Linked DNA regions of Coturnix japonica. The protein of the gene in region 6 binds, or shares a complex with, the protein of the main gene of each other region. Links are inferred from orthologs where the notes say so. Each region holds a gene or a part of one and is shown on either strand. Other genes may lie near its edges. The genes, in order: AAR2, CWC22, LSM5, LSM8, PPIL2 and SNRNP40.

What was found.
Region 1: SNRNP40 (region 6) and AAR2 share a complex: the UniProt entries of both Homo sapiens proteins name them as parts of the U5 snRNP complex. The link is inferred for Coturnix japonica from reciprocal best matches to the Homo sapiens genes SNRNP40 and AAR2.
Region 2: SNRNP40 (region 6) and CWC22 share a complex: the UniProt entries of both Homo sapiens proteins name them as parts of the minor spliceosome. The link is inferred for Coturnix japonica from reciprocal best matches to the Homo sapiens genes SNRNP40 and CWC22.
Region 3: SNRNP40 (region 6) and LSM5 share a complex: the UniProt entries of both Homo sapiens proteins name them as parts of the U4/U6-U5 tri-snRNP complex. The link is inferred for Coturnix japonica from reciprocal best matches to the Homo sapiens genes SNRNP40 and LSM5.
Region 4: SNRNP40 (region 6) and LSM8 share a complex: the UniProt entries of both Homo sapiens proteins name them as parts of the U4/U6-U5 tri-snRNP complex. The link is inferred for Coturnix japonica from reciprocal best matches to the Homo sapiens genes SNRNP40 and LSM8.
Region 5: SNRNP40 (region 6) and PPIL2 share a complex: the UniProt entries of both Homo sapiens proteins name them as parts of the minor spliceosome. The link is inferred for Coturnix japonica from reciprocal best matches to the Homo sapiens genes SNRNP40 and PPIL2.

The regions. Positions count from the first base shown.
Region 1 is NC_029535.1:173,929-178,195, forward strand, and holds the start of AAR2 (protein AAR2 homolog), read left to right. Parts: upstream 1-1,467; 5' UTR 1,468-1,533; coding exon 1,534-2,284; intron 2,285-3,018; coding exon 3,019-3,248; intron 3,249-4,267. UniProt on the Homo sapiens protein: Component of the U5 snRNP complex that is required for spliceosome assembly and for pre-mRNA splicing.
Region 2 is NC_029522.1:13,114,576-13,117,788, forward strand, and holds the end of CWC22 (pre-mRNA-splicing factor CWC22 homolog), read left to right. Parts: intron 1-847; coding exon 848-1,503; 3' UTR 1,504-2,713; downstream 2,714-3,213. UniProt on the Homo sapiens protein: Required for pre-mRNA splicing as component of the spliceosome. As a component of the minor spliceosome, involved in the splicing of U12-type introns in pre-mRNAs. Promotes exon-junction complex (EJC) assembly.
Region 3 is NC_029517.1:78,884,366-78,888,507, forward strand, and holds the start of LSM5 (U6 snRNA-associated Sm-like protein LSm5), read left to right. Parts: upstream 1-1,342; 5' UTR 1,343-1,432; coding exon 1,433-1,478; intron 1,479-1,765; coding exon 1,766-1,861; intron 1,862-2,297; coding exon 2,298-2,325; intron 2,326-2,687; coding exon 2,688-2,760; intron 2,761-4,142. Other genes in the region: late secretory pathway protein AVL9 homolog, read right to left, coding at 537-629. UniProt on the Homo sapiens protein: Plays a role in pre-mRNA splicing as component of the U4/U6-U5 tri-snRNP complex that is involved in spliceosome assembly, and as component of the precatalytic spliceosome (spliceosome B complex).
Region 4 is NC_029516.1:21,853,723-21,857,714, forward strand, and holds the start of LSM8 (LSM8 homolog, U6 small nuclear RNA associated), read right to left. Parts: upstream 2,801-3,992; 5' UTR 2,699-2,800; coding exon 2,668-2,698; intron 2,310-2,667; coding exon 2,269-2,309; intron 1,357-2,268; coding exon 1,229-1,356; intron 1-1,228. UniProt on the Homo sapiens protein: Plays a role in pre-mRNA splicing as component of the U4/U6-U5 tri-snRNP complex that is involved in spliceosome assembly, and as component of the precatalytic spliceosome (spliceosome B complex).
Region 5 is NC_029530.1:477,567-481,066, reverse strand, and holds part of PPIL2 (RING-type E3 ubiquitin-protein ligase PPIL2), read left to right. Parts: intron 1-138; coding exon 139-190; intron 191-1,501; coding exon 1,502-1,593; intron 1,594-2,063; coding exon 2,064-2,153; intron 2,154-3,500. UniProt on the Homo sapiens protein: Has a ubiquitin-protein ligase activity acting as an E3 ubiquitin protein ligase or as an ubiquitin-ubiquitin ligase promoting elongation of ubiquitin chains on substrates.
Region 6 is NC_029538.1:602,876-606,375, reverse strand, and holds part of SNRNP40 (U5 small nuclear ribonucleoprotein 40 kDa protein), read left to right. Parts: intron 1-26; coding exon 27-149; intron 150-1,118; coding exon 1,119-1,239; intron 1,240-1,965; coding exon 1,966-2,048; intron 2,049-2,467; coding exon 2,468-2,529; intron 2,530-3,500. UniProt on the Homo sapiens protein: Required for pre-mRNA splicing as component of the activated spliceosome. Component of the U5 small nuclear ribonucleoprotein (snRNP) complex and the U4/U6-U5 tri-snRNP complex, building blocks of the spliceosome.

The DNA.
Region 1 (4,267 bases), on a different chromosome or scaffold from region 6:
CGCTCACTGTTCCTCGGCACACTGTGGTTTATACTCAGAGGAGCTCACATGGCCTTCATACTCTTACAGCCACCCGCTGCTACTCTGAAGCTAAGGCACCTGCTTTTGGCATCACCTGCACAGTTATCAAAAGGAAGGTTACTGCTCAAACTAGTGGCCTTATACAGTTAGAGCTGACCTGAGCGTGGATTCAGACGAGTTATATTTGGAGTGAGCGGACCCCATTCTGTGGTTTTTACAGCTTGTTTAATGGGCGACAGCATTTCAATTAGAAAACGACAATAAATAAAAGCACCAACAAACAAATAGGATGAAACCAACCTGCCAGGCTGGGGCAGCTCAGCATGGTGTGTTTTCTTCCAGGGGCCTTTCTGCTGCAAGGGGCGGGAGACATGAGTGCCTGTTTTTACCCGATCCCACAGATTTATTCCAAACCTGGCCTGCAATTGCATGAGTGATAGTAACAGTAACAATAACAATAATGTTTATATTTGAAAAGCACCTTACCAACCAACTGCAGTGCTCTGCTGTTCCTTCACTAACTCCCCTTTTCCCTTATTCTTCTTCTCCCCCCTCCAGTCATGCTCCTTTTCAGTGCTCGGTGGTGTACGCGTGTGTGCTCACTGTTCTTGTATTCAATAAAAGTGAAATAAATGTGTTTGAGGCTAAACCAGCTCTGCGGCCTTTTCAGACTCCTTCCCACCAAAGAGGATGCGCAGATGGGGACAGGGGCTCCATGCAGGGGCTGCATAGCGGGCTGTCCCCCATAGGTATTGTACGTGGTGGTTGGTGGTGATGCTGCATGGCTGTCCTGCCGTGGGCTGTAGGGTCACCCTTTGGGGTTGGAGGTTGCCATTTAGTGTCAGCGTTAAGCGGGTCACCATTGTTGGTTAGGGTTGGGTATTAAGTGTTACCTTTTGGGATATGTTTGAGGGCTACAGCTTAGGGTTAGTATTAAGGGCTAAGGGTTACCCTTTTGGGAGATGGGTTGAGTTACCCTTTTTGGTTAGAATTGAGGAGTACGGGTTAATATTTTGGGCTATGGATACGGTTACCCTTTTGTGTTAGCGTTAAGCATTCAGGTTTCTCCTTTTGTGTTAGGATGAAGGCTCACTCATTTGGGGTTACAGTGAACGGCTTGGGGTTACCAGTTTGGGCTACCAGTTACCCTTTTGTGTTAAGGCTAAGTATATGGGCTATCGTTAAAGGTTACACTTTTGGTTCATGGCTAAGGTCCCCCTTTGGGTTGCGGTTGAGGGTTACTCTTTCGTGTTACTGTTAATCGTGAAGGATTACCCGTTGGTTAATGGGGGCGGAGGGCGACCGCTTCTGTGTGGAGACCGGACGGAAGCAGAGGTTCGGCTGTCGGGGCGTCACGTCGAGCGGCCGCAGCGCAGCGGGGCTCCCCGGCCTCCGGGACCGCGCGGAGGCGGAACGAGTTGCGGCCCGGAACGTTCGTGCGCGGCGCATGGGGCGGCCCGGGCGCAGAGCGGAGGAAGGACCGCGCGTTTCCGGCCCTGTCCGCCCGCCGCGATGATGGCGGGGCTGCGGGCCGACCCGGAGCTGGCCAAGCGGCTCTTCTTCGAGGGTGCCGCCGTGATCGTCCTGGGCGTCCCCGAGGGCACCGAGTTCGGCATCGACTACAGCAGCTGGACCGTGGGGCCCCGCTTCCGCGGCGTCAAGATGGTTCCGCCCGGGGTGCACTTCGTGCACTGCAGCGCGGCCCGGTCCGCCGGCGGCACTGAGACGGGACCGCGGGCCGGGCTGTTCCTCTGCCTGCGGCCCCGGCAGGTGCGCGCCCTGCGCTGGGAGCCGGGCAGCGAGGAGCTGCGGGACGCGCCGGGAGAGGAGGAGGCGCTCGGGAGGGACCTGCGGGACATGGACGCGTTCCTCGGGCCGTACCCGTACGACACCGTGAAGAAGTGGATCGCCCTCAGCAGCTTCGTGGGCGAGGCGGCGGTGGAGCGGCTGCGGCCGGAGAGCGGGCGGATCTGCGCCTTCTCCGAGGTGCTGCCGGTGCGGGAGGGGCGGCTCGGCCGGGACCGCGCGGGGCAGAAGCTGCCGCCGTACGACGCGGGGTGCGGGAGTTACGCCGAGGGCGTGGCCAGGCTGCCCGAGATGCGGCCCAGAGCCGGAACCGAGATCCGCTTCACCGAGCTGCCGCGGCGGACGTACCCCGAGGGAGCCAGCCCGGAGGAGATCACCAGGCACTGCATGGACCTCAGCTACGCGCTGGAAAACGTCATCGCGCGGCGCTACGCCGGGCGGCCGCAGGACCTGCTCGGTGAGTGCGCGGCGGGGACAGCCCCGGGCGGAGCTCCGGCCGTGGCCGTGCCGGGGGGCGGGTGCTGAATGTGGAGGGGCCGGGAGCCCGGCTGGGCTGAGTTGTGAGCGTTTGTTTTTCACGTGGTCTGTCGTGTTACACGAGTCATTCGTTATCAGAATTCCTGCGGGCGATTGGAGGGGAGGCGAAGGTGATCGCATCGGGTGCAGGTAACAATCTTCAGAGCCACCGGTTCTGGCTGGTGAGAAGCGCCTGGCGAGGCTGAGTCCTGGCTCTGAAAAAGAGACAAACACTCGTTGCTCACAACCTCCGTTGTTCTCATCCCTGCGTCTGGGGGCAGCGCCTGCAAGCCGTGGTACAGGAGGAGGTGAACGCCTGCAGGGCGCCGGCAGTGGCTGTGTGCAGGTCTGTGCACCTGTGAGTGTTGCAGGTGCTCCTGTAGCTCCTCACTCAGTGCCAGCAGCACCGCCCTGCAGAGCTGGCAGCCACAATTAGGAGCCCTGCCCGGTTACACTGTGCTTTCTCTCCAGATGGGAGAAGAGCAGAGCATTAGGAAATAATCGGTGTTGGCAGTATTGATCGCCATTTGCAGAGTCACTTAGAGGGCTGAAGGTTGTTTATATGCCCAAGCTAAACCTACAGTTTATGCAGTCATCTGCAGAGCTTTTTAGAGGATGTGTGCCTTGGTTATACCTCGGTTTACCTGTTTTGTTTTGTTTTCTGAATACCTGCAGCTGAGTTGCAGTTTGCTTTTATCTGCTTCCTGATTGGGAATGTATACGATGCATTTGAGCACTGGAAAAGACTGTTAAACATCCTGTGCCGTTCTGAAGCTGCCATTGCAAAGTATCAGGACCTTTATGCCAATCTCATCTTTGTCCTGTACCACCAGTTGAATGAAATCCCGTCTGATTTCTTTGTGGACATCGTCTCCCAGGACAACTTTCTGACCAGCACCTTGCAGGTACGGCTGTGCGTTCTCTTGATCCATGGGAGTCAGAATGCAGGGCATGCAGGGCATTGAAACAGATACAGAGAGAAGCTTCAAGAGGAAGTAAGCTGCTGTTGAGTCTGCCAGAGATAGGGAGCCTGTGTCCTCCGTGAGGGCACACTGACATTTCCTTTTACTTTTTCCTGGCGTTGCTCACACAGAAATGACCTCTCTTGTCATCTATGAGCTTGATCTACCAATGCACATCGAGCATTTATTGCCTTCAGCAGATCAAGCATTTAAAGCACCGTGGACTGGAGTTGGTCCGCACGCACGTGCCAGCAAAGTGAGGTATTGAGGGGAGAGGCTGTTGACAGCTGCAGCACAGAGTGAGGCCTGAGTCTTCTCTATTGTGTTTTCCTTGAAGATAGCACTGACCGTGATCTGGTCCATTGGTGCAGGTTTGGAGTTCTGGAGTGGGACAACTGACGTGACTGGGTGGAACCAGCATGTTTGTTTTAAAAGTGATCTGGGCTTTCAGCTGTGTGAAGCTGAACATCTCCGAGAGGGGCTGAGCGAGTGCAAAGTGGTGTCTGTTTGTTGATCAGTTTTTTTCCCCTCCAAATACCATTCGTTTAAAAACACGTGGCTTGGTGTAAAAGAGTGGTGGTGGTTTCTGATCAGCTTGGATGGTGTGCTCAGCCTGCAGGGAAGTTGCAGCTAAATCTTACTGAGCTGAAGGTATGGATAACATATAAGAAGCCTTTCTGCTCCTGCCTGCTTTATGCAAACGTGAAGGTTTCCTGAAATCAGGTTGTTGTTTGTATGGGATTTATGGTCAGTCCAAACAGCAGAAATACACTGCTGGTGCTGAGACAGGCAAGGGCAAACCTGTAAGTCACTCCCAGTCACTGCAACTGCTGATAGATCAGCAATACTGGAATAGGCTCCCCAGGGAGGTGGATGAATCTCCATCCCTGGATGTGTTTAAGAGCCATTTGGATGTGGTGCTCAGGGATATGATTTAGCAGAGGGTTGTTAGAGTTAGGGTA
Region 2 (3,213 bases), on a different chromosome or scaffold from region 6:
TTGCCTGGTCTTTCTGTAGGAAGTCAATAAAAAGATGATGATGCATACAGGCTTTAAGAATTCGGGCATCACTTCCAGATAGATAAAGGATAAAAGCCTTGCAAGTGTCACAGTTACAAATTAGTAGATGAGGGGGGAAGCTTGATTGTTGGAGTTTTGTCAGTACATAGCATGTAAAATATGAAGGCATTTCCTTCACAGCCTACATGTTATGTCAGATTCTTGTTCAACACGTCACTCTTTGGGTTTGAGTTACTCCATTTATGTGACTGCTTAGTAATACTCTGTTTTCAAGTGCAGGTTTGTTTGTATGTTCTGTAAGTTGAGGAAGAAGTTTGGTTTCTGTTAGAGCTGGAGCAATGTGTCATGTTCTTGATAACTGCGTGGTCATGGTAAATAGGGTGAAATGTGGAAGACTTCCACAACATCATATTTTCTTGTTTTTACTGTTGTGGATGTGGTGTAACCTTGCTTGTTGTTCTCGTGAGGTTCGTGTGTTAGTAACAGTGAAGGTGCTGATAAATGCTGAAGCATAGACTAATAATGTAGCTCTGGGCTTGTTAATCAACTCACACTTCAAGGGAGAATTTCTTTTCACATTAAAATATGAGGCCTGTAATTCAACCAGATAAATGGGTGAATTTTGTCCCATTGCAAAAAATCCTTGGTTGATGGGGGGGGGGATAGAAGCAGAGCTCATATTTTTGTAACTTGCAGCCAAATGTATAACAACGAAAGTTGGAGTGTTTTTCCACTAATGTGTTTCTATATAACCTTTGGTGTAGCTTAATGAATCAAATAGTTGATTAAAATAGAACCTTATTTCCATAATTCGTTGTAATTTCAGATGCTTCCAAAGCCAAAAGAAGAAGAACACAAAAGAAAAATAGAGAATCTGATAAAGCTTCCCGGAAAAAGCAAGAAAAGAAAAAGAAATCACTTGAAAAGAAAATGGGAAGGCGACGGCAAGAGGACAGAAGTGATAGTGAGAGCAAGTCAGAAAGAAATCACCGAAATATGAGAGAGGCATGTAGGAGGGATGATACATCAAAATATCATCACAGGGATGAATCTAATGGCAGAGGTGATTACGAAGTGCATAGGAGAGATGACGTATCAAAATACCACCAGAGGGATGAGTCTAATAGCAGAGACGATTACCATAGTGGAAGGGATAGGAACCACGAGAGAAGTAAGGATCTAGAAAATAAACACAGTAATTCAAAACTGAAGAAAGCAGAAAGAAGAGCTTCTTTTTCTGACGATGAAAGTTATAGACATGGGAACAGAGATAATGGACATCGGAGTAGAAAAAGGGAAAGATCTAAGTCTGGAGAGAGATCCTATAACAAGTCAAGTCCAAGGGAGGAGGAAGAAGACCACCGATACAGAAATGGCTCAGAGAGACTCAGAGAGAAGTCCAACCATTACTCTGACCAGTACAGAGAATCAAGAAAATATGAGGATAGACGAAGGGAGAATTCCCCACACAGACGAAAATAAGACCTAAGCAGTTTGAAATAAATGTGTATTTCTGAGCTGTTAAAACTGTATTTTAAAAAATATGACTAAACTTTCTTTAAAAAAGATTTTGTACAAAGTGGTAGTTTGCATTTGTAAATTTTATCAGACTTTTTCAAATTTTCAGTACTGCTTTTTTATAACTGTTACTTTGAGTCTTTCTGTTGAATTCATCCTCTGGGAAGATGAAGTTGTTTATTTTGTGAATAAAACAGTTAAGATCTCAGCAAAATGGGTGTTCTTGTCACTTAATTTCAAGTATTTGTAACTTTCTAGTACAAAAACATTGCGTTTTAACTTTGGTTAATTGAAGATCAGAGATGCTGAATCTAACGTAATGAATCTAAGAATCTCAGATGACGGTATCGATGATGCATGGGAAGGCTTTTTAAAAGGAATTGAGCATGAGCACTGTGCATTCTACAGTTATATTCTTTCATCTTCATAAACGTGGAAGTAAGTTGGACCAAAATTTTTCAGGAAAACCTTCGTTTATTTTTTTCAAGAGTTAAAAATCAGAACAGCAGTTTTGTTATTTTAAATGTCACATTTTGAAACTGTGTCAACTTGTTCTGTGTTACTTTTCACAGTGTTTTTTAATGTTGTAACATCCTAAGCCAGTGATGCTTGTGATCTTGGAGGAAAAAATGTTTTCAACTGTGAATCTGATTTGAAGTAATTTGTAAACTTCAGGTGTATTTCTGTGGGAAATGTTTAAGGAATGTCCTTCCTGGTATATTTTAAAAACAGTGAAACAAAAGATATTAAATCTTTTTATATGCTTTGAACTGCATGGCTTAAAGTGCTCAAATTTACTGGAAGCAAAGTTTTACTAAAAAAACAACACCTGAGCAGTTTATAGTATGGAAGTTGTTCTGTGTAGAATCATTTGAAGAACTAGTGCAACATTCATTGTTTGACTTACAAATCTGAATTGTGGTTAAGATTTAATGTCATCACTAACAAAGGCAAATTCAGAAAGTCTTTTGGCATGATCAGCGTGGCCATGGTCAGTAGAAAAGGCAGGAATGACAGTTATGTATAACCCAACTGTTAGTGCCATAAAACCTTTTTTTTTCCCTTTGCAAAATGAACATAATTGTTGGGCACATGAAAATATACAGATTTCATGTGTACGTTGTATTTCACTGTATGCAGAAGGCTATAAAAATACACTTGAGCTGTTCTATAACAGCAAATAGAGCAATTCCTAAGGAAATAGATTAGGTTGGGGTAAGTTGTCACAACATCTTTTTCTAAGAAAAATGATGCTTTGGATTTCTGTTCTGTGTTTAACAGAATTTGTTTCTGCCAGTTTTCATGCACTGAAATGTTTTCAAAGATACTAGCAGAGAAAATAAAGAGACACTGCAGAGAAAAATGAACGTTTCTGTTGTGTTGCACCACACAGCCATAAATGCTCTAGTGGTATCATGAGGAATGTCTTATTTAAATTCTGGTTTTGTTTCTATTCCCAGTGCAGTTCTCATTTTTCCAGGCTAACTGTGTGTTTTTGGTAGTGTACTTTGATTCCTAGAAAAGTTAATTTGAAGTAATTCTTTTTAGAAAGATTTGTGCTAGAGATTATTGTTTGTTTCTTAGCAATCTACTAAGGGTATTAAAAATTACCTGTGTTTCATAATTGTTGTGTTGTATGAGCTTAGCTAATTTAATGAGAGTAACCCTTCCCTT
Region 3 (4,142 bases), on a different chromosome or scaffold from region 6:
AAACTATTTGCTTTCCTGACCACAGCACGGCCTTCCAAAGTAGAAAACACAGTTTCCTCAGGTTTCTAGATACTGCCCAGTCACAGAACGTGGAATGACTGCAGGAGTTTAAATGCCAGATGTAATTCTTGATGTAAGACTTGAAGAAAAGAGTTTGAATACCAGTCGTTTGATTGGATCAAATGGCATTTTATATACTCAGTCTCAAATAAATAAATAAATAAATCATTCCTGCAACAGCCTCGCCAAGATTTAGTTAGAGAGCAAAGGAGGAAACGCAACGAGAGCACAGAATACCTACGAAACACAGCGGGCCTTGAAGACACACTGAGCGCCGGTAACGCACAGCTGTTGGGTGGCCCCGTCCCCTCCAGACAGCCCCGCGGAACCGCTCCAGCCCGACCCCGGGCCCCCCACAGCCCGCACCGGCGGGGGATCGCAGCAAGGGGCTCGTAACCGGCCCCCAGCCCGCTGCAGGCAGCGCCCAGCCCAGAACCAGAGGCACGCTCCCGGGGCCCAGCGCTCACACCCCTCACCTGACAGCCCTTCTTATGGTGGAAGCCCACTACCACGATATGCAACACCGGGCCCCGCGGAGGGGCGGCCGGCGGCGCGCCCCGCTTCTCCATGGAGCCCGGCGATGGCCGCTCCGGAGGATACCGCCCAGGCCGGGCTGTCGCTCCGCCTCCTGGTGCCGAAGGCCGAAGGGACGGACCCCAACCGACTGCGCTTCCGCAGAGCCCGGCGAGGGGAGGCGGAGCGGGGCCGCCCTCTTCCCCTTCGCCCTGCCCCCAGCCGCGCTGTGTCCCGGCCCGCCCCGCCCTCCACTCTGTGCTCTGTGCGGTGGGCGCCGAGCGGGAGCGTGCGATGAAACTGATATAGGAAAGTGCTTGGTTTTATTAAAATTAGATACATTAGGGGGCAAAAGATAGGCTATAAGGAACAATCCAGAACTAGCAAGCGAATGATAAGAAGGAAGGGTAGAGCTGCAATCAAGCAGAAGCTCTTAGAAATAAAAGAATCCTGCTGGAATTTTCTTTCTCAGTGTATATCTAATAGATACCAATAAAAACTCAGCCATATATACCAGAGCTGCTCTCAAACTAACGCCTCCTGTTTTATTATGCTGGCCCATGACATCAGAGGTGGATGTTGGTATGGCAGTAGGGGCTACACCTTCCTGCCGTTATATTCCATTATACTTTGTTGCCTTGTGACCGATGGCAGCAGAAGGGCAGTCAGACAGGCTGCCACCTGACATGGCAGTGTGTATAAACAGGAGCGGAACTGAATTCCCATTGCGGTCGGAGCCCAAAGGAGAACACGGCGGTAGAACGAGCGCTCTGCCTGCCGCTACTCAGGGCTGCGTCCCGCCCGCCACAGCCTCTACTTCCTCAGGAGGCGGCAGCCATTGGCCAGCTCTGGCGGCAATATGGCGGCCAACGCGAGCACCAACCCCTCGCAGCTCCTGCCGCTCGGTGGGCAGCGCTGCCGGCGGGTTCTCGCGTGGGCTCGGGCGGGGAGGGAGGGAGGCTGTGACCGGGGTGGGAGAGGCTGCAACAGGGGCTAAATCGGGATCTATGAGCGAGAAACTAAATCGGGATGTAACAAAATTAATTCACCCCTCTTCGTGTTGAGGGAATACGTGCTCCGGGTGTAGCGTTGCTGTTGTTTCCAGTCGGTCGGAGATGATGGAGGGTACCTCTGGGCTGATTGATTTCCTGCAAATACACTAATGCACTTTTGTTGTTTTTAACATCTACAGAGCTTGTGGACAAATGTATAGGTTCTCGCATTCATATCGTGATGAAGAGCGATAAGGAAATTGTTGGAACTCTGCTAGGATTTGATGACTTTGTCAGTATCCTTTGGTGGGTGTTATCTGTGGCCATTAGCTTCATGGGGAAAATCATTTCGTTTATTGTTAAGAACATTAAGCTGTTTGGTATCGGTTTTTTGCTCGTTAGTGGTTTTTGTTTGTTTTTTTATCGCTAAAATCACAGTTTGGTGTAAAATAAATTGCCCATCTCTATACTGCCCTTGTGAGGCCCCCAGCACAGGAAGGATGCAGAGCTGTTGGAGCAGCTGCAGAGGTGGGCTGTGAAGATGATCAAATGCTTCTGTTGCTGGAGGTGTACAAGGCCAGGCTGAATGGGCCCCATGGCAATCTGATCTAGTGGGTGCAGCCTACCAGCAGCAGGGGTTGCTCTGTATTTGGAACTGGGTGGGCTTTACAGTCCCTTCAAGTTCTATGAAAAGAAATCTGGGCCTTATTTTCCTTGAAACTGAGCTTTCAGATATGGTGTTAGAAGATGTTACAGAATTGTAAGTATTATTTTTGTCTCTCATTGCTATTCAGACTTGGGTTTCCTGAGAAAGAATGCGGTATAAGGTCTGTGCTATCACAGATACTTATAAACTGAGCAGTTTTGAATTGTTATTGAAAAAAATGCCAAGTTTTAGAGGGCAAATCTGTGTCTTTATATGCTGAACAAAAAAATACAGCAAATCTGTTTAGTTGCCAGGTAGCTTTCCCTGCCTAGTGGGTCAGTGCATCAAGATGATGTTGCAGTGTTATTTCCAGTAAATGTCATCTTAATATGTGGACTTGCATTGGTGCTGTAATCAGAACTTTATTCATTGTTGATGATTGCATGCTCATATTTTTTTTTCTAATATTGCTTCAGTGAGATCACACCTGAAGGCAGAAGAATCACAAAACTAGACCAGATTTTGCTAAATGGAAATAATATAACAATGGTAAGTCATCACTGTAAATAGTCTGCTTGTGTTTCTTTACCTGTAAATCTGATTGAATTCAACTACTTGAGTAGTTTCTAAGGCATATGGTTTATGAATGATGCTGGGAAAGTGATCTTATTGCTATATTTCATATATTTTATGGTTTAAAATGCATGAAAAGAGGAGCATGGGCATGACTATAGTTTTGGTATATGCTTTTTTGGTTTTCATAAGGTGTGTGAGGGAATCTTTGGACGAGTTTGGTTGACAAAGTGGCTTTTGACTCATGAGTGTCTGTGTAAGTCTGTGGGTTGGGATACATCTGCAGTTCATCCATTATGTATAGGTGTGTTTGCAGCAGCTCAGATACTTATAAGCTTGTTAAGTTACTTGACTATTATTAATCATTATCATGTGATGCCGGATGCTCTGGAAAAAAATAATAAGGTGGAGTTTTGTTGGACTATAACAAATCAGAAGCACTTTCTGGTTGTTACTCGCTGATGTGTATAGATCAGTACTGAAACAATACTGTAGTTAGTTGAGCATCACTAAGTGAATTCTGCATCTTTGTAGATACTTTACCACAAAAGCAGACTCACAGTACATCATTTGCTTTCCTGCACAGATGGGTGCAAAATCTGGACTTCCTGCATAAGGCAGTTCATGATTTTGTTAACAAGACAAGTGGAAGGCTGACTTGAGTCTATCTGTTCTGTGTGAATGGGGAATAATCCCCATATTGCTATCTCACCCTTCTGAGTAAAAGCTATTTTGACTTAATTTCAAAACCTTTTCTTGCTTCGGTTATTGTTCTGCATCTTTAATGCATTGTGCATGTTCTGACTTCTTGTGTGGGTAAAATAATTATTTTATATTATTATTATTTATATTATTTTAACAAAGGAGTTCCTAAAGAACATACATTTTTTTGTCCTTGTTACTCATTCCAAGGTGAATCTTGAAATTCTACAGTTTGTTTTTAAGAGCATTTCAAGAAGCATTTCTTCAACTGATTCTTCTCCAGACCATTGTTATGCTGAGAAGCTTTTTTGCTCTTCCTGACTTTTAGTGATAAGCAAAGCCGCTATATGTATACATGTAAGACCAAACCTTTCTATAGACAGTAGGAAACAAGCCAGCAAAGTATTTTCCTGTGAATAAAAGACTTAAGAGTAAATATAAAAGGAAATATTAAAAAGGTAAACAAAGGTAAAGGGGAAAAAAGATAAAAATCATTTATATTTTCTTAATAATGAACAGCACACTTCCAAAAGAGAAAGACCCAGGGTGCTTTTGAGTCAGATTCAGTAATTTTATGGCACAGTTGTAACATGTGCCCTTAAAAAAGGCGCAGGATCTCCAGTCAGAAGCATGGCTGGGTTTTGCTAAATATGCGT
Region 4 (3,992 bases), on a different chromosome or scaffold from region 6:
TTTTCATAGAATCAAAGAACAGCTTGAGCTGGAAGGGACCCCCATGGACCAACAAGTTCCTTGTTGATCCATGGGCAGGACCACCAACCTTCAGATCTGGTATTAGACCAGGCTGCCCAGGGGCACATCCAACCTGGCCTTGAAAACCTCCAGGGATGGGGCATCCACAGCCTTTCTGGCCTGTTCCAGTGCCTCACCACTCTCTTGGTAAAGAGCTTCACCTGACATCCAATCTAAACCTTCCCCCTCTGAGCTTTTTTTATTATAAGGGTAAAGTCAAAAGTGACTTCCCATGAATATCCCTTGGAACTGGAAATAAAAATTCTTACCTGTGCTGGCAAGAACAGAATATACATATATAAATGCATATATAAATCATAATAATATATAAAAATAATACATATATATTTTTTCCTGGTATATATGTGTGTGTGTGTGTGTGTGTGTGTGTGTGTATACACATATATATGTTTTCAGAATGCTGCTGCAAAATTCATCTTCCTGGCAGGCCCATTTACTGGAGGTTCTTTCCACCGCTCTCACAGCCTCCCCATATCATCAGCTCTGCATTTAATGAGCTTTTCTGCTCATTGCATCATGGCATTTGACATCAAATGTCAATTTACCCCCTCAATCTGCTGCTACATCAGTTTTAACTATCAGTTGCTATACTGTCAAGCCTAAAACTCAGAGCATTTTTTTTTTAAATATGAAGCATTCCCTTTTCCTCTAATGCTTATCTTAATTCTCCCTTAATGTCCCTAAATAAATCCTATTAAAAGTTAACTTTGTGTACCGGATTGCTAATTTGTTGCACATTATCTCTGTCTTATTATATGTACATTCTTTTCTCTCTTCATCTGTTAACAGATTCTGCCATACACAGACTGGAATAAAGTACATCTACACAATGCCTAGACTTAAAGAAGAAAAATGCTGCGTTTCATACTGACCTTTCTTCACATTGTTATCATTGTGTGACCTGGTTAATTTACAACTCAGGTATTCTAGACCAACAATATCATAACAATACAATGCAATCACTTTTGCAAGAGAAGCATAGTTACTTGATACTTCATATGTCTCACCTTTAATAGCTCTAGCAGAGCTATCCATAGATAGGAAGATATAAGATGCATGACTGCACATGCATATAAATATATATATATATTATATATGCACACAGTGAAATTTTTTATTGGTTTAAACAAAAACATGCTCTACTTACACATTATCACCCCTTACGATGTACAATCCCAGCACTACTTGCTCAACTCCTTGTGAAGAACTGAACACTCGTTCATGGCTTTCATCCAAAATCAAGTTAATGGTCTGATCAAAACCTTTGAGGGTTCCCTGAGGGGAAAAAGATAAGCACACAATAATAAAGTTTGTTAATTGCCTTTTAAATTTATATCTTCACTCTCACCAATACCTTAAACAGCAAAGTGGCAATATTAAGATACTAGAGAACAGATGCTCTTTTTAGGTTCTAATGTCAGTCTTAAACACAAACAGCTGGAGAAGAAAACTTTGAAAATGGTAATCAATTCAAGCAAAAAGTATACAGTGCTCATACTAAAAGCTACACTATTTGGTACAAGAGATGAAGTTTTATTTCCTTCCTCTAGACAGCTGACTGTACAACTTTTAGTCTTCCTTGTATGGAAATTTCATAGTCATAGAATGGCCTGGGTTGGAAAGGACCGCAATGATCACCCAGTTTCAACTCCCCTGCTACGTGCAGGGTTGCCAACCTCTAGACCAGGTTACCCAAAGCCACATCCAACCTGGCCTTGAATGTCTCCAGGAATGGGGCATCCACAACCCCAAAACCTCCAGAGATTCAACATTAAAAATAAGGTCAATGAACAGAACAGTTAGATTCTGGGCATGGCTAGGCTGGAGTTAACCTTCCTCACAGCAGGAGGTTAACCTTCCACACAGGGCTGTGCTCTGCACCTGGCACTGTGACAGTGCCAATAGCACCTCAGTGCTCTGGCTGTGGCTGAGCAGCACCAACATCACACCAAGGCAGCATCCAAGCCACCTAACGCCAGCAGACTGGGGGCAGCAAGGCACAAGAGGGAACACAGCATTGAACCAAACTGAACACAGTGTATCCCACACCACATGACGTTATGCTCAGCCATAAAAGCTGGGGAAATGGCAAGAGAAGGAAGGACTTTGTTGTGAAATTGTCTGTTCTCCCAAGAAACTGCAAAGTGTCCTGAGACCCTGCTTTGCCCCCCAAAATAAATGTCTCACCACAATCATTCTTCCATCAGAAGTTATTACTGCGACAGTACCTGACAAGAGTTCATTAAGGAAGCAATAAGAGATATCTGAAATAGAATCATTAACATTCTCTGTAACATGCACGTGTAATAAGCTCAAGAGTCAGAATTAATTACAGAATCACAGAATGACCCGGGTTGGAAGGGACCTCAAGGATCATGTAGTTCCAACCCCCCTGCCTGGCAGGGCCACCAAACATACACCTTTACTAGATCAGGTTGCCCAGGGCCCCGTCCAACCTGGTCTCGAACACCTCCAAGGACGGGGCATCCACAACCTCCCTGGGCAGCCTGTTCCAGGGCCTCACCACTCGCACCCAGCCCGCCCTCTCTCTGCCACCCGCAGCCCATCCACTCGGCAGCAGGATACGGTTGATGTAGTTCTCCAGGGCCGACGTCATGGCGGCGGCTCCCGCGCTTCTCCTCACAGCGGTAACGCCGTTCCCGGCCCCGCTTCCGTCGCGCTCCGATGACGCTCGTCCGTCTGAGCAGCCACACCACCCCAGCACGAGGGCGGGACTGGGCTTCAAAGGGAGGAGGGGTGAGCAGGATGTACCAAGTGCGGTGAAACTGTGGTTTAAGTGCTTGTCCAGCAGAGGGAAGTCGTGGCCTCTGGTTGTATTACGAGTTCTCATAGAACAGAAACCCAGATGCTGTGAATAAGCAGCCTTGAGCATCTGTTTTCTCTCACTGGTTCCGATCCTTTGAGTCCTGATTTTAGGTGTAGGAATTCGGTACCTGTGTCTTAGCGTGTCACTAAAGGGCTGATGATAGCAGGACACGGGGAAATGGTTTTAAGTTGAAAGAGGGAAGATTTAGGTTGGATGTTAGGGGGAAGTTCTTCACTAGGAGAGTGGTTAGGCCCTTGAACAGGCTGCCCAGGGAGGTTGTGGATGCCCCGTCCTTGGAGGTGTTCAAGACCAGGTTGGACGGGGCCCTGGGCAACCTGATCTAGTAAAGGTGTATGTTTGGTGGCCCTGCCAGGCAGGGGGGTTTGAACTACATGATCCTTGAGGTCCCTTCCAACCCGGGTCATTCTGTGATTCTGTGATTATGCTCTCATGTAGTTGAAGAAACAAGGCATCTTTGTAACAAGGCTTGTCCTTGTCTAGCTTATCACTTGGTAATAACATTTACTCCTGTAATTAAACCTTTTTCTGCAATTGAGTCTATATACTTTAAGGTTTCTGTAGTGATTACTGTATTTTATGCTTTCCACAGAAAATATATCTAACTAATTGTGCCCTGGGGTGTCTCTGCTTATTTTCCTGCTTCCTCATATTCTGCCAGGGCAGGAAGGAAAGCCTGCAGTGATACTTGTAGGGTGTATTTGCAAGCAGTTACTGTCTGTAAACTTGCTATCTAGCCTCGAGCTTGCAGAACAGATGAGTGGATGATCTGTTGCTGCTGTGTATTGTTTATCTCTTTTACATTTCCTCAAACACAACAGCTTCTGGTGGCTTTGCTCTCCTTAGTTATCAAGAAATAGGTATGTTTTATAGACCTAGCCATGCTAAAGGCTGAAATGGCTTTGTGGAGTCGTCGGGGGGTGAAAGGCCCGCCCAGTACCACTCTACCGAGCTCAAACCTTGTCAGATCTGGTGGAGAAAGGTACAACACCTACTCTTCCTTGAAAGCTGAACCTCTAATGTAATGCTCAGACTGTGAGGAGATTGAAGAAATTCCTTGTAAAAA
Region 5 (3,500 bases), on a different chromosome or scaffold from region 6:
GGCTTTTTTTTGATGCAGACAGCTTGCAACATAGCATTAATACACGATGCACTATTAAAATACTGACATTGCCGTTTCTGTTATTTCCGTGTTTAGATTCTGTTGTCATTAATTTTCCTCATGCTTCATTTTCTTTAGAAACTAGATGCCAAGTCCCTTATAAAGCTGAATTTTGCTAAGAACAGTGAAGGTAAGTATGTTAACTTTCTGTTCTTGTTGGCTTGTTTCTTTCTTAATGAATGCTGCAATAAATCCCGGTTTGCCTGACTCCCAGTGAAGTGTCATAGAATCCTCTCTGCTCATGCTTGTCCAGCAAAATGTTATCAGGTATAGCAGTCCCTTCCACTTCATGATCCCTTTTTGGTGGAGCTCAGCATCACCTCAGGCTCTGTGCTTTTGCTAGGAGTGGCATCGTGGTGGTTTGTTCTTTTTGCATGTAGCTGGAGCAAGGCCTTGCATTCATTGGTGTCTTTGTGCACCCGTCAACTGGGCCGTACCCCGCTGCCTCTCCTAGATGGCCCTGTTTAAACTTTCTCCTTAGTGTGTCATTCATGTTCAACTTAGTGACATCAGCAGAAATAGTGCTCAGCTGCTGCTTGCTTCTCCACGTTGGAGATCAGTGCCTCCTCTGGACAGTCCCTTGATCGGTGAATACTCTGCAGGTGCTTCCCTTCCTGTCCCTGCAGGTGCTGTGAGCAATCTCTGTTCTGGCCTCCCTGCTGGTTTGATTTTCAGATGGTAATTAGGACAAAAAGAACAAAACGGGCCCAACCTATTTCAGAATCTCACCCAAACACTCAGGTCTAGCAAAATGATCAAGTATTGACAACATCCTTTAATTGCTTCTGCGGAGCTCGTCCCATCGTTTTTCTTTTTCCTCCTACACTGGCTCCCATCAGTGTGCTTGTTATTGACATGCTTAATATTTATGTTGACCCTCCTGGGGAAAATTCACAGCTTGGTGCGAGCAGAAGCTGCGTTCCTTATCGAATAACGTGCTCAGATTTAATGGCATTCTGCTTGCCACATTCAAATGCAAAACACTCCTCTCTGAAAGCACAGCAGTTGCTATGAGCTTTCATTGGGTGTGAGCTAAACTTCACTTCTGGGAACAACACCAAAAGTAGAGTTCTGGGTGTGTTAAGGTACAGGCCCATGCTCTCAGCAGAGCTTTAATTACAGCAATAATGGTTCTAATGTGATACTTCATTGATACCGTGTGTGTTGGACAAAGCTGTGCTGGGAGACTGAGGGCAGCACGTTTCAAAGCTGCTCTTTCATTGCTTGGTTTATAATTCTCTGAAGTGTCACTTTTCAGTTTTGTTTCCTCTTTGGCTCTGAAGAATCAAAGCACAGTTGAAGCACCATTACCTACACTCTGAATTTACATTCAGTGTTAGAAAGAAATGTGAATGTCCTTTGCAGAAAGAACAGAAATCAGCTATTTTGAATTAGTTGTGATGGCTCCATGCTAAATCCACCCTTTTTTCCTGTCCCTCAGGTAAATACCACTGCCCCGTGCTGTTTACTGTATTCACCAATAACTCCCATATTGTGGCCATCAAGACAACGGGAAATGTGTTTGCCTATGAGGTATGTTGTCTGTCACGTTTTGATATGAGTCATTTACACTTTAGAATGGTAGGTAGGCTTTGTTGTGTCTTACAGCCAAGGAAAGGAAGAGCAGGGAGATGGACTGGCCTCACAAACTGCTGGCTGACTTGTGGTCGATGTCAGCCCTTTGTTAAAGCCACCTGTCTCCTACCGTCTGTGAAATACTTATCCTAGAAAATTCAAGGATTTGGGGTTTATTTTGGCAGTACTTCTGTGGTGAATTTGGTTAAAATTGTTTTTAAAAACACAAGGAAAACCCGATGACTTTTGTAGGGATTGAATGGCTTTTCATCTTCAAGCATGCAATGAAAACATTGCAGCTGCCAGTTAAGAAAGAAGTGCACAATTATTTTATCGTAGCGCTTTGTGAGTGGCATCGTGTATTTACTTGCAGTGTGTATGTATTAGAATTCATTTGTTCATACCTGTATCTTTCACCGGGCTGTCAGGCAGTTGAGCAGCTGAACATAAGGCCAAAGTGCTACAAGGATCTCTTGACAGATGAGCCCTTCACCCGGCAAGACATTGTGACACTGCAGGTAAGCTGCTCTCTCCATTACGTGTCTAATAATCCAGGTGGTGTTGCTGTTCTTTTCTCAGAAGGTGGAACGTTATGGATATCCTGTATTTGTGCTCTATCACTGAGTGAGTAGAGAGGCATTACTCTGGATTTGTTCCTGCAGAGGAGGGCAGAAGGGGAACTGCTCTGTTGTCTTTATTACCCAGACGAGCCACAAAGATATTGTATAACATAAAGGCTGATGCACCTCTACACTGACTTCTGTGTGCCTTGTAGATAAGTAGAATGCTGAACTTTAGAAATTAAAAAAAAGGGGATGGTGCACAACAAATGTCAGGGATGGGATGTAATGTGAAAAGGTGAATTTGGGCAGATGCTTTTGCAGTTGTTTGCTCGCTGTTTCCCTGAATACAAGATGTGTGTAATCACAAGTTTTAATTCACATGAGTGAATAAAAAATATTCCTTTGTGTCAGGATAGAGAGCTGAAGGACTGTGAGCAGATAATGGAAATATTCACTCATCTAAAGATACTTTGATACGTTTGCGAGGTTCAGGATTGAATGTATACATGCTCTTCTCAAATAAGATCAGAAAAAGCAAATCTGTCCTTATTTTTGGGGTTGGACTGGAAGAGATTCTGACCATTTTCCATTGAACTGTATGACGCCTGCTGCCAACCTGCAGCCATACCTCAATTTTTCTTGTTCTACTCAAATGCCACCCAAATCCAATGCGCAGAACACGACCTGAAATGGTTTGGCTCCTGGGTGTTAAAGTATCTCTGTGTATTTGGTGTAAGAACTTGCTGTGATTTTCTTCATGTAAATTGTCAGGAGACAAACCAGCATCTCCTTCCTCAATCCTCTCGCTGTCAGCATTGTGTGCAGTGTGTTGGCTTCGCCCTGCCAAGCTCTGCCACCTGTGGCTTTGGTTCTTGGCCAGACTTGGTGACTGCAATCTGTTGTGTTTCAGTTTGTAGCTCCAGAGCTCTGTCCCAAATCCTCCTTCTCTTACAAAAAACAACCTTTCGATTCTTTGGCGTTTATTGTTTTTTGGTTTTCCCATTGCCTCCTGTTCGCTGAGTGCTGTGGTGTCTGAGGGCGCTGGGATTGGGAGTGAATGGGAAATGCTGACCCAGCTGTCTGTCCGAAAGATAAATATAAAGAAAGTTGCTATAAAAACGTCCTTTGCTTTGCAAACAACAGCTGAATGGGACTGTCTGTAATAGCTTTGTTTATCAATAGAAAATGATGTTTCCAGAGTCTGACTGTGAGTGCTGCAGGAAGCAGGTGAGGTACCTGTGCTGGGCAGTGCAGCAGATGATGGATGGGAGATCTGAGTCATGTATGGTCACAGATTGGGCC
Region 6 (3,500 bases):
AGTTTTACAACACAATGTCTTTTCAGCTGTGGGATATCAGGAAAAAAGCTGCTGTCCAGACATTTCAGAATACTTACCAAGTCTTGGCTGTAACCTTTAATGACACCAGTGATCAGATCATATCTGGGGGCATTGACAACGATATTAAGGTATGATGCTTGTGTCCTTGTGCTTCTTTCCAACCACCTTCACCTTTTCCATCCCATCAAAATTTGCTTTAGCAGCACGCAAAATGCCTTGGTCAAGGACAAATGTGGTTAATTTTACTGTCACGAGAACTGCACTGACCCACAGTGTCTTGATCTAAGGCCAGAAAACTCTGAGATAGTTGTTCCAGGGCTGTCTGCCATGTGACTGGCCATGCATCTTAGCGTCACACACTGCCACTGATATGGTATGCAAGCTCTTCTGGCAGCTGGTGCCCCTCACAGAGGCTCTAGAGCCATATATGTTGTACGCTAAAGAAAATTTGGTGACACATCCATGTTCTCTGACCCTTGCTTCAATAACTTACTTTGTCACCTGCTACTGTGGAAAGTTCTTATTTAAGAGCACGCTCAGTGTTCATTCACTTGGTAGCTGAGATTCTCCAGATAGCTTCACAGTTCAGTCAGCCTTGCTGTCTTTTTGGCCTCAGTCTCCAGTCTTACCTAGGCATGGGGAGCACATACTTGTCAGAGGGCCACCACTAAGCGTAGCACTGAAATGATTTCACTTCTAATTGCCCTTTGAATGGCAGTAACTCATAGAGAAAGAACAGCATGAAATTTTGAAGACTGGATAACTGCTCCTCTGTGCCATGGGTCAGTGGAATTTGGGAGCTGAGGGAGCTAGGCCAGATTGAAAGGAAATCCTGCGTACATCAGCTGCTGAAATTTAACTATTTTCTGCTGATGTGGTTGGACACGTTAGGTAAGAAATGGGGGGGAAAATTTGCCCTTTAGAGGACAACACATAACTTTATAGCCTTATATTTTAGCCATTCAGACCTTACCCAACTGCAAGTGGAAAGTTATTCATCAGATGGCTGATCAGTACTTGCATGAAATTGGAAAGAGCATTGCTAATAGTCTTGTCTGTCCATTCTAAGCCACAATTTTGTCTCTGCTGTCTGAAAGGTGTGGGACCTTCGCCAGAACAAGCTCACGTACACGATGAGAGGACATGCAGACTCAGTGACAGGCCTCAGTTTGAGTTCAGAAGGTTCTTACCTGCTCTCTAACGCAATGGATAACACAGGTATGTCCTGCCAAATGTGACAGCACAGCTGTGCAGACAACTGTCAGCCTCTGCCTTTGAAGAGCTGTGTGTGGTATTTCAGAAGGAGCAGCTGAAATTGGTCAATGTGCTAAAATAGGAGAGTCAGGTGGGCGGAATGCAGGCAGGGTCTGCAGAGAAACCTTCAGTTCTCTTTGTTTGAACCGTGACAGTTACATCCTTTGTAGAGAAGGAGCAGCTGTATCAGAAAGGTTTGTCACGTCTCCCAAAGGGCAATGAGGACATGGGCTGTGGCACAAGTTATTTGCACAGGCAGTTGAACATAATCTTGGTCTGGCTTTTGTCAGAGTGGTTCAGCTGCTTCCCTGCAGCAGGGAATGACAGTGCTGTTTCCAGACTGCTCATCTCCTGCGTATGGGTGCTCAGTGAAGCTGATCTGATTAGAAGTATGATCATGAAGTGTATTAGAATAAAGCAAATGCTCATGTGAGGAGACAGTAGCTCATTTGTGTAGTAGTTGTTTTGGAATTTTCCCCTCCTGTTGGGAGTGGTCTTAATGTAATTATAAATTACTGCATTTTACCTTTCATATCACAGCTTCCTGCAGCGGGAGGCTGTTGGTATCCTTTAGCTAAGGAAACGGGCATGAAAAGAACAAGGAATGCAACCAGATCTTTGATCATTAGCAGCTGACCTTGCCCCTGTAGTTCTGGTATCTCCTGCTAATTACTGTGTGCTCTGTTGCAGTTCGCATCTGGGATGTGCGACCGTTTGCCCCAAAAGAGAGATGTGTGAAGATCTTCCAGGGGAATGTGCATAATTTTGAAAAGGTGAGTGTATTACAGACCTAAACACTCATTTATACAGCGTTGCCACATGAACTTAAAGAACAGTTTACAGGGAAGTTAAAGTTTTAACCAGTGAGACTTTAATAAGGACTCGAAGAAACATTAACGCACAAAGTGAGATTCCAATTAAAGCTGTAGTAACAAAATTTCTTTGTTCACTTTGGCTATAATTAGCTGTAAATGAAGTATTTTCTACACATGTTGTATAAAATAACAAGGCACTGGATGTTTCCAACAATAAAACAAAATCTTTAATTACTTGATGAGAATCTTTTGAAGAGGGATCATTAAAGTAGTGCTCTTGATACTTAAAGTCTCATAGTGATTTTACTTGAACTGGAAGGGAAAAGCTAAATCTTCTTCGGAAATGGAACTGTGCCTATTGTTTTGTTTTGTCTTAGAATCTTCTGAGGTGCTCCTGGTCTCCAGATGGGAGTAAGATAGCAGGGGGATCTGCTGACAGGTGAGTTATCACCGTGTTTCTCTGTTACTGTCAATGCCAAACCATTTTTGCAATCACTGCTGAAATGAGCCTGGATAGTCTCTAAAATGAATATGAAGAGCCAGAGTTGTGCATGGAGGTGTGAAGACCCAAACAACCCCCTGTGGTAATCTGTGAGCATTGTCTGCAGCAATGGTAGCAGAGATGTGTTCATATTGCCTTTGCATCAGCGGAGGAGCACTATATGGTTGTAAAATCCTTATTACTGTTGTCAGAAACCTTCTAGAGAGCTCCATTTCTGCTTGTGTTCAGTCACTGCATCCAACAGATGGACAAGCAGATGACGGGAGCGTAGCTGGCAGCATGCGAGGTCTCTTGCAGTCATAGCAGCAGATTCTTGTGAGACTTCTCCAAAGGCAAAGATTCTGGCAGATTGCTGCAGAGTGCTGCATTTTGTGCTGATAATGACCACCAGAATCAGTCAAAGCTAGCAGGGAGCACCAGTGGCGTTTCGAGGATCGTTTGTGATCCTTACTTAATTAACAGGTGTGAGGAAATTAAGTTCTGACTAAATTAGCACATATCTGACTTATTTAAATGAGAGCTTCTGTAGACTGGATAACCAAAGGGTAAACTGGGCAGAGGGAGGAGGGCAGCAGAGGGTCCCTGCCAGACACTGAAGGTCGCCACGAAGGATACCAACCTGCTGGAGCAGATCCAGGTGCACTCTCAGTGACATGGAGACAGGAATTCCTGCAGGCCGGAGTCCAAGGCATGGAACAGCAGTAATCAGCAAATTAATGAGCTTCTGATAGACGACAGGGAGAGCTTTAGCTCATACTGTGCAGATATAGTGGGGCCAGCTGTCACAGCTGGCAGCTGAGACATGACCCTTCTTTCCAGTCCCACTGGGCTGCAGCAGCAGTGCATGAGGTGATGAATACCTGTTCCTTCATGGCTGGTCCCAGTGTGGGCAGCCTGACACGGTGAAG